Arabidopsis thaliana: one gene and its partner. The protein of the gene in region 1 interacts with the protein of each later gene in a pairwise test. Each region holds a gene or a part of one and is shown in the gene's direction. Other genes may lie near its edges.

The links.
Region 2: the proteins of AT4G26990 (region 1) and AT1G24050 interact in a two-hybrid assay, tested with the Arabidopsis thaliana proteins (one large-scale study listed by BioGRID).

What each region holds. Positions count from the first base shown.
Region 1 is NC_003075.7:13,550,361-13,555,971, reverse strand, and holds AT4G26990 (polyadenylate-binding protein interacting protein), read left to right. Parts: upstream 1-1,535; 5' UTR 1,536-1,718; coding exon 1,719-1,893; intron 1,894-2,143; coding exon 2,144-2,265; intron 2,266-2,355; coding exon 2,356-2,498; intron 2,499-2,760; coding exon 2,761-2,824; intron 2,825-2,905; coding exon 2,906-2,933; intron 2,934-3,071; coding exon 3,072-3,289; intron 3,290-3,481; coding exon 3,482-3,742; intron 3,743-4,010; coding exon 4,011-4,109; intron 4,110-4,231; coding exon 4,232-4,282; intron 4,283-4,471; coding exon 4,472-4,559; intron 4,560-4,646; coding exon 4,647-4,822; 3' UTR 4,823-5,080; downstream 5,081-5,611. Other genes in the region: ATRBP45C (RNA-binding (RRM/RBD/RNP motifs) family protein), read left to right, coding at 125-180, 292-422, 507-603, 693-872, 987-989; AT4G26980 (RNI-like superfamily protein), read left to right, coding at 5,328-5,433, 5,574-5,611.
Region 2 is NC_003070.9:8,505,060-8,509,412, forward strand, and holds AT1G24050 (RNA-processing, Lsm domain-containing protein), read left to right. Parts: upstream 1-1,908; 5' UTR 1,909-1,997; coding exon 1,998-2,151; intron 2,152-2,257; coding exon 2,258-2,423; intron 2,424-2,518; coding exon 2,519-2,599; intron 2,600-3,083; coding exon 3,084-3,207; intron 3,208-3,338; coding exon 3,339-3,380; 3' UTR 3,381-3,850; downstream 3,851-4,353. Other genes in the region: AT1G24030 (Protein kinase superfamily protein), read left to right, coding at 1-136; AT1G24040 (Acyl-CoA N-acyltransferases (NAT) superfamily protein), read right to left, coding at 735-1,694.

The sequences.
Region 1 (5,611 bases):
TGCTACTGCTATTGTCGTGTGTGTGCGTTTGTGTTAGTGTCTGTGTCCTTGCACTGTCAGCTTAATTAAATAAATAGATGTTTGAGGTTTTTTTCCTTACCTTCTCTTGACTGTTTTATTGCAGCTTCATATCAGAACACTCAAGGAAATTCAGGAGAAAGTGATCCAACTAACACAACAGTGCGTAACTTGTTTTGGTTTCCCTAAGCCTTTTTTTTCTTTGACGTTGCCTAAGCCTTTTTCTCTGTGGGATATATTGTTGAAATTGAAGCGTTATGTTCTCTATTCCAGATTTTTGTTGGAGCTGTGGATCAAAGTGTAACAGAAGATGATTTGAAGTCAGTTTTTGGTCAATTTGGTGAACTAGTTCATGTGAAAATACCCGCAGGAAAACGTTGCGGATTTGTTCAATACGCCAATAGGTAAATGTGAACTTGGAGACGAACTTCATCTTTACTTATTTTGAGAATGTTTTTTCACATATTTAATCTGTCTGTATGCTTCAGGGCATGTGCTGAGCAAGCACTTTCTGTGTTGAACGGAACACAACTTGGGGGACAAAGCATTCGTCTTTCATGGGGTCGCAGTCCTTCCAACAAACAGGTTTGTATCTGTTAGACAATGCACCAAGCTTACTACGCTTTCATATACGTTATGTGATCTGATGACTTGTTGATCCACGAATTTCACAGACTCAACCTGATCAAGCCCAGTATGGTGGTGGTGGAGGATACTATGGGTATCCTCCTCAAGGATATGAAGCATACGGATATGCACCTCCTCCTCAGGACCCTAACGCCTACTACGGTGGTTATGCTGGGGGCGGCTATGGAAACTACCAGCAGCCTGGTGGATACCAGCAGCAACAGCAGGTAACATTCTTTGGTTTTTATCTGAATATCTTCGAATGAAAAGTATCTATGTTTTCTGTTTTTTTGCGAGATAACTGATTCTTCTTCACTCTGTTTGTTTATCCGAATTTGCAGTGAAGCATGATGTGTAAGTCGTGATCGAGCTGAAGTTGTAGAAAGCTGTAACCGTTTGACAATGGTGAATGAATTATTGAAGTGGATGTGTATTAGCTCTTCTTGTCTCAGATTCTCTCTTCAACTCTTTTTTTTTTCTTTTGGATTATTTTTCTTTCGCGTGGCTATTGTTGAGTGTCCTTGCAAGTCATAACAAAAAGCTTAAACCCAAGTGTTTTTTGTCATGACTAATATGACCATTATGTTTTCTTGCTGTACCATTTCTTCTTGTATCACCTATGACTTCCAATTATTCAGTAGTACCCTCATAATTTTTCAATAATACTCGTTTTGTGATCCTATTATAGTTGATTCGTTTTCAATATATAGTAGAATTGTGATGAGTTATTTATTCACCTTTGGTTAAAAGAAAACAGTAAACTTAAATAAGATTTTATCTAATGGGGTAGCATGAAATCAACATGGGCCGTGTTATACCAAATAAGGGCCCATTAAGCCTGTGGAGAAAAAGAAGAAAAAAAGAGCGAAAAAGAGAGAGAGTCGCTGTTACCGGTTCCCTCGTAATTTCTAGATCTGTTTTTTCATTTTCTTCACCTTTTAATTTTTTTCCTAGTACGATGATATATATGTATATAATTTAGCTCCGAATAGACCGTGATTTCCATAGAAACTTCTACAGATTTGAAATCTTTCTTCAAGGGATTTGAAAGGTCGTCAGAAAGAAAAAAAAGGATGGGAAACGCAAGGAAAGTGGAAGACGACGACAACAACAACAACAACAAGTCTTCATCATCGGTGTTAATAGCAGCAACTATGTGTATAATCGGATTGCAAGTTCATGTTCACGTCAAGGATGGTTCCGTCTTTTCTGGGATTTTCTTCACCGCTTCCGTCGACAATGGCTTTGGTAAATGTTTCGATTGTTTTCATATGTTTTTGAGTGATTTGGTTTTCGAGCTTTCTTATCGGAATTTGTTACCTATTAGAGATCTGAATGGGATCTTTTACTATTGAATCCTCCTAGGTTCTGTTAATTTCAACTCAAACAGACAGTTTATAACAGTCTATGATTTGGACAATTATGGAGTTAGGCTTGTCCAGATCAAGGACATGTACAGTTTTGGTATAGTTTCTTAATATGTCTCTGTGTGATACAGGCATTGTTTTGAAGGATGCAAGAATTACTAAGAAGGGGACAAGTATATCGAATGTAGCAAGCGGGAGTGTGGTCGATACACTTGTTATTCTGTCTTCCACTATTGTTCAAATAATTGCGGAAGTGCGTTCTTTTTTCCTTCAGTTACTTACCTTTTTTAGAGCTTCATTAGTAACAATCTGTGTGACATGCTTGTGGATCTCTGTTTCATAGGGAGTCTCGCTTCCATCAAATGTTACAACAGCCAATAATGAGGTCGGATCAGCCACAGAAACATTACCTTCTGAGCCTCGTTTATGTGCTGCAAATAAATCCACAAATGTTTCCACTCAAGGAAGGGGCTTTAATCATAAGAGGTAAATTGCTTTAAGAAATCGCCAGATGATAATTGTGAAAATCTCTTAACTTCCGAAAACAGGATTACTTAGAATTTTTCTGAAAAATGAAGTAAATATGTTAACAGAACCCTGATTTCCATCTCAATATTTGCATTCTGTGACAAATTTTCTTTTTCCATGTCAATCTTAGCAATCTAGTATAGTTTAGCATACCAATGTCTAAACTTTGCCTAGATAAATTTCTTCCTTCTCTCTGATTCTTGTATGCTTTTGTTGACAGGCAGGCTGGAGCTCAGATTTTGAAGCGTAGTGTACAAATTCCAGAGGTTTATCAACAGGATAATGTTAGTCTTGTAGAAAGATAGTTCATTTGTTTGATTCGGTTATTACTTAGCAGCTGCTTACTTGTTAGTTTCCTATTGCAGATTGATATCCAAAGCTCAAGTTCTAGCTGTGAGTTCATTTTCCACGGATATTTTTTTATCTTTGTTATAGCTATCGTATTCTTGTTTCTGCTTCTTTTTGATAGTGAAATGTTATCTAACATACTTATCCCTCAACTTTCATTCATGTGAAATTACAAACATCCAGTGGATAGCATGTCCGAACGAGTTAAACCTATAGAAGAAGATAACTTGATGCCGGAACCTCTTAGTAATGGTTTTCACAATGCTGCTGCAAAACCCTCTTCAACTGACAATTTATTGTCAGAAAGTACACCTGTTGATGACACCTTGGAATTGTGTCGGGGTAGAGTGGCGGCATCTTCAACTGCATCAGTACCTATCCAGGCCGTCAAAAAGCCTAAGGTAAACTCCTAAGTACAGTTTAGATTGATTTTCTGGTCCTAAAGATTTGTTAATCTATTCATTCTCTCACATTTCAAACGAGTGTGTTCATTATAGTCGTTGTTATATTGTCAAATCAGCCTGAGTGTTCATTTTACTTTATCTATTACTCAATTACCACGTTTTCAATTCTAAAACTTCTACCACATACAGGAGTTCAAGCTGAATCCAGAGGCTAAGATTTTTTCTCCGTCTTATACAAAACGGCTTTCACCGTCTCCTGTCGGTATGCCTCATGTTGGAAATATTGCTTACATACCAAGCAACACTCCCATGCTACCAGTTCCTGAAGCTATTTACCCAGAAGTTGTAAACAACCCTTATGTGCCGCAAGCACCTCCACCTTCTAAGTTTGTACCATATGGTAATGTGACCGCTGGACATGCTGTCGGTGGATTTCAATTTCCTCAACACGTAAGTATTATCTTACTCTCTTCGAGCATGTTATGTCAAAGGGCTTTTATCAACTAGTAATTGAGAATAGACTGTTCCTCTCACCACTAAGCGCCTGAATGGTTAACAACCATAAATGTTAGTATTGAACACCAGATTAAAAGATCATTCTGAATTGATATGGCTTTGTCTGTACTGTTAAAATGCTTCCATATACTTTCTGCCACCAACTTTTGTTTGTTTTGCCATGGATGAATCATTCTTCCACTTGCAACCCATTTTCCTGCAGATGATTGGGCCAACTGTTAACAGAGCACAGCCTCAGAGATACACCGCTCAGTACCATTCTGTTCAAGCTGCACCAATGCTTGTAAATCCAAGTCCTCAGGTTATATTTCATGGAGGTCCCCAAAACTCACTTTTGTTGAAAGCGCGGTTTTAAGAAAAATTTATCTGTATTGAGATGTATTGGTGTTATTGTTTCTAAAGACTCTTTTTACTGTCCTCCAGGTGATGGTTGCAAGATCGGGGCAGCTTGTCTATGTCCAATCAGTTTCTCAGGTTAGAACTTGATGTATATAGCTTCTTGATGAACCTTTAATGATGTTAGTTTAATCGAATGTATGTCCTGTATTGCTGAGTGAAATAAGAAATATTATTACGCAGTCATTGGTTTAAGTTTGGTCGAAAATCTCCTCTTATTCATATCGTTATAGTCATTTTTAGTAATAGTCTTTCTTATTTTTCCAGGATCTGGTTCAAGGAACACCGCCTCTCTCACCTATGCTCTCCTGCCCTCTACCTACCGCACAACATGTCCAATACCTGAAGCATCAAGGTAAATACCTGAGTCTACCTTGATTTGCCTTTTTGGACCAAACCAAAAGATTGTGCCTTAACTAGAATGAACCATTATGTGATGCAGGTGTAGTAGCAGCTGGCCAGCCGCTACCGCTATGTGTCTCCCTACCATTCACGACTGGTGGACCGCAACCTTATGGCATTCCCACCCAATTCCCAGCTATGCAGCAGCCTCCTTTCCCCACGAATCAGCCAATGACAGTTGCAGTTCCTAATGGTTTCTACACAAAGTTTCCATAAACAAAGTCTCATTGTTTTTGGTTTCATACCTTTATTCTTTGCCTCTCCAACCTAATAAGGGTTAAAAAGGTCCTAGTTTTGGTTCCTAGTTTTTTCCTATTCTTCGGTTTTGTGTAAGTATGTTGCGAGTGTTAAGCTCTGTTTTGGCTTATTATATTGGGGTTTTTTTGCATTGGTTTATCGGAGTTGAATTTGGGTGAAAAATGTTGTAGAATATGAAAACATTATATGATTGATTCTTTGGAAAAAGTATCGTTGATCACATATTGGTGATCTCAATAAATTGCAGTTCATAAATGTTGGAAGTTAAATTACGTCTGAAACAGAGCGAGACTAATCACGTAACATATTACACAAGAGAGATTAGAGAGATACAAATGAGAGATCATAAACGTTAAGTCGGTTATGTTTCGGTTTGAGCTAATTAGAAGTTCATATAATCCGCCGTCCGCTAATATTCCTCGATTAGAATCTCCGGCGATCAGAAATCTCGCGGTGAATTTTGATGGAAGAAAAGCTGCCAAAATCGCTCAAGAATCTCGATTTGAATACGAATCGTGGTCGTGGACCAGAGAATAAGATTCTTGTTTCAGCTTATGTATCTTCGTCACGTAAGCCTCGCTTTCGACAATCTTTCTTTTCTCGAGCTCGGTTAAAATTGGGTTCTGAGAATGGATTACTGAATTTGGGTCTAAGCATGGCTGGTGGTAATTAGGAGTTGGAATTTGACAATGGTTTGCTTCAATCGCAGGAATGTCTCCACTGAAATCAAAACCTCCATCTCTTGTG
Region 2 (4,353 bases), on another chromosome or scaffold:
AGCATCACGGTGCATCCGTATAGAGAGTAAAGAGCGACCTTCAGTGATGGATTGTGTTAAGGAACTGCAACTAATTATCTACACAAACTCGAAGGGTGGTTTGGGTGGGACGATTCCTACATTCAGAAGGCTCTAGACACTGAATTCTTCGAAACAAGTAAAATGGATTACTGTCATTTTTCCTAAAATGAGAGGTCACTGATAAAAAAACACTTGATAAATATAAACAAACAATACTAATTATGAATTACCGGATAATTTCAATTCAACTTCCAGCTAGGAAACTTTGATCAAGCGATATTATTTGGATATATATACTATAATTTCACTAAGAAAATCAAGCACTAGATGTATCCGTATAGTATGTTGTATTTGCTGCTATGAATGTTTTGCTTTAAGAGAAATGAGTACATAAATTCAGGGGTGTAGTCTTGTTTTTTCTTTCCTTCTTTCGCCTAATGCCTAAAGAATTAACCACATGTCTATGAACAAGAAATACAATCGCTGCCAATACAGGAAGCAGATAACAAAGATAAGAGTGTGTGTGGAGTACCTCTACTAAGATCATATAAACAATAGGTCGAAGCAAACGGGATTATCAACCCGACCCTTGGTCATGTCACATTTAGCTCCTACATAATAAAGCCAATCACAATGTTTGTTATAAATTCAGAAAAGGTTGAGAAGAAGACTAAAAGCTAATTGGTACACTGATGGAAAAACTGTACCCATGTTTACACATTTGCAGAGGAGGTCAGCTCATTATCAGACCCCACCATTTCTACTATAGGATTGGTGCATAGTGGAAGAAGTTTCTTCCGCATCAAATGCTTACGCCGCTGTAACATCAGAAGGACCAAAACTGTATCTGTCTTAACAACCTCGTATCCTGCCTTCTTGTACATATTGAAAGGAGCCTCATCAACCATCCTACAATGCAAGTATACATCTTTTGATGGACTAATCTGAGATATCAGTTCCTCACTCGCCTTCAACAAATGCCACCCAATTCCTCTCCTTCTAAGATCCTCTTTGACAGTCATGTTACAGATATAAGGTGATTCCTTAGGAGGAGTTGGAGAAGGAGGAGAAGCATTAGCGCCTCGTTTCTCCAAACAAACCTCAACAGTTCCAGCCATCACAGCCTCCTCCTCTCCATCATCACTAAACTCATCAACTTTTTTCCTAAAGAAACCAACTAAAGTAACTGCGTGTGGCAACACTTCTCTTCTCTCAATCAAATACTGCTTAATCAAAAACCGTAACACAGACTGATAACCAGAAGGTAATAACATCGATTCACCAAATGACTCAGCCAATAGATGCACCGTTGAATCCATCTCTTCATGTCTCATAACTCGAACCCACATCGATCCAGATTCAAGCTCTTGAAAATACGCAAATCCTTCAAGAGTTTTAAGCTTCTCTAACTCATCGTTACTCAAAAACCTCCCGGTACGAAACGATTCCTCTAGAAACGCGTAATTCCCGGTCGATTTAGAGTTTTCTTCTCCAGTTTCTGTAGCTGTCGAAACTGAAGAAGGAGGGAAAGCGAATCTGAGATTGGAGCGGTGAGATTTACACGAGTAGAGTAATGGATATCTATGTGAAGAAGACGAGAAGCCAAACTTCGTTGATTGGGTTGGTTTGAGAGAATCAACAGAGAAAGCTAGTGAGATGCTTAAAGCCGCCATTGACACACACACACACGATTTTCTCCGATTTGATTGTGGTTCAGTGTTCGCTAATCTGTTTATAACGAAATAAAATGGATAAAGTAACAGTCATACACTAATCTTTAAAACGCCGCGTTTTGAACTAATCATGAAGCTCAGTAGTTATTGGGCCCTTATGGCCCATATACTGATATAAAAATGAGGAAACTGTTATAAGCCAGTAGCTATTTGGGCTTAAGGCCCATATTGCGATATATATAGTTTTAATTTTTCCGAAGTTCGGCGATTTCAGAAGACGGAGGAGGAGCGAGGACGGCCGCCATGGATCCAGCAGGAGCATCGGTGGCCAGCGCAATCGGAGGAGAAGGAGAGAAATTCGCGGTGGGGAATATTTATTCAGTGAAGGTGATCACCGGAGATGAGTTCAGAGGGATCGTCATGGCTTACGACCCCATCCCCAACTTCGTCTTTTTTGATATCCTTAATTTCTTTAATTGTTTGTTTCATCAAAATTTGAGATTTAGGTATTTTCAATGTCTTGACCTGAATTGTGTTATCCTTGACGAGTTATTGGTTATTACAAGAGGGTACAAAACCTAGACCTGGGCATTTGAAGAACACTCGGATGGTGAATGCGAGTTTTATTACAGGGCTTTCGTATTTAGGCAAAACTGAAGATCCACTTGATTCAGACAACTTTTCTGTTGATCTTAATGGTCTCCGAGCTAAAGAGGCACTTGCTATCAGGTGATAAGATATTTTGTTGTTGAATCCTTTCAAAATGCAATTTTTATTGCTATTTGCTTGTTTTGAGCTTACTTGGGAAAACGTATTGAGCACAGGCAAGCGGAAGCAGATGCTGAAAGAATGGGAGTTGGTGTTACCGCTGAGGCTCAGAGCATCTTCGACGCGTTGTCTAAGACGTAAGGATCTTCTCTTTTTATACGTTTTCGGATCGAAAAATAAGCTAATCTCTAAGAAGGAAACACAGCTTAGAGTATACGGTAGAGAGGTGGGACGAGATCGTAATCTAATGTTGTTTAGTTGAACTATTAGTTCTTTGTAAACAATTGCTTGGGTTGGAGGATTTTGTTTTGTGCGTCTAATGTGTTATTCCCAAAGATAAATTGTTAGGATCTGGACATGATTTAGTGTTGTTTTGCTCTTGGTTTCCGGTGATGCTAGTTTGCAACTATATATATGTAAAGTTTCTATGTTTGTGGTTGTTGTAGATTACATATGTTGTGGGCTCTAGTGTCAAGTATCTTTAGTCTTCTTTGTGATACTGATACAGTTAAGAAGCTGTCTAGATACATAGTTTTAGACTACATAAATCCTTAAACTTTCTTTGTTTGAATTTGCTTTTTCTCTTTCGAATGAATCACATGTGAATTATTTTCCTTTTAGGCTTCCTGTGCAATGGGAAAACTCAGACATTCTGGTGATGAAAGAGGTACGCGTTCGTAGCCCGTATCTTTCAGATTGTGTCTTTGGAGGAACTGATGCTGCCAACAACCGAGTCAAGAAAGTGGTAAGCGTCACTTTCAGTTCATTGTGTAATGCCAATTAAGCCTCTGGTGTTATATTAGTCATTTGCATTCAATCGTGTAACGTTGATCAAGCCTTGGGTGTGATAGTAATGCAATTTTGCTTTTATCGCAGCTTGAGCTGGAAAGACGAAGGTTGCAACTCTTTGGCACATGAGGCTAGTGAAAAGAGTCGGTCAGTGAAATAGCGAGAAAGGGTTCGTTGCTACTAACCCGAAAGGCGTCTATAGATCTGATCGACCAGCGAAAAGCGGATATGTTTGCTTTTCGCATGTTGTTGTCTTTACTTAGAATCTGCTTGTCCTTGTAAAAGCAGATTAGAGATTTCTTGAGTTACAGCCTTACAGGGATTGAAATTTGGACTAATTTCACCCTGGTTATTGACAAGAACAGTGAGGTCTTGTCTTGTCCACTTTTTACCAGGGCTTGGTTTATTTATCGCCTGGAACTGTAAACTATTCTGAAATGTTGAACTACTTTTTAGTGACTTCTCCGGTAGATTTTTACATCTCGTGTGCTCTAGAACTGAGTTCCTTGATCAATGCAAAAGTTATAAGAAATATTTTTCTGTTGATTGTTAGTATTGAACTGTGTATAGATTCCAATGATGATCATAATAGACCGTGGTGATGTATAAAACCATCTTATTCGATACACAACATATACAACTATGGACACAACTACTTTGCGTTTGGGTGATCAAGCGTGAGCTAACTTGTTGATTAGAAACCAACATTGATGCTACATGCGAATGAAATTTTACGTTACGACTAAGCTAACTCTGGATAAGCGCTTGCATGAGGAGATGGAGATATAACAATGATCACTCAGGTTGCTTGATATCATTTGAATCAAAGCTTTAAGAATGTTGTAAATTGAATCCAAAAACTAGTAAGACAATGTGTTAATTCAACATTGGAACTTATAAGTATCATAGATCGACGCGAGAGTTCTGCTTCTAACAGATACTTATCACCAAAACCTTAACCTATCTTTAGTGCAAAACACCACTAAACTATGAGCCACAAAAATTATTAAGAAGGCAACAAAAACCCTACTAAGAAGCCAAAGGAAACAATCCACACACTTGCTTCTAATCTTCTACTTGTTGAGTATTTCGCTGAGATTGA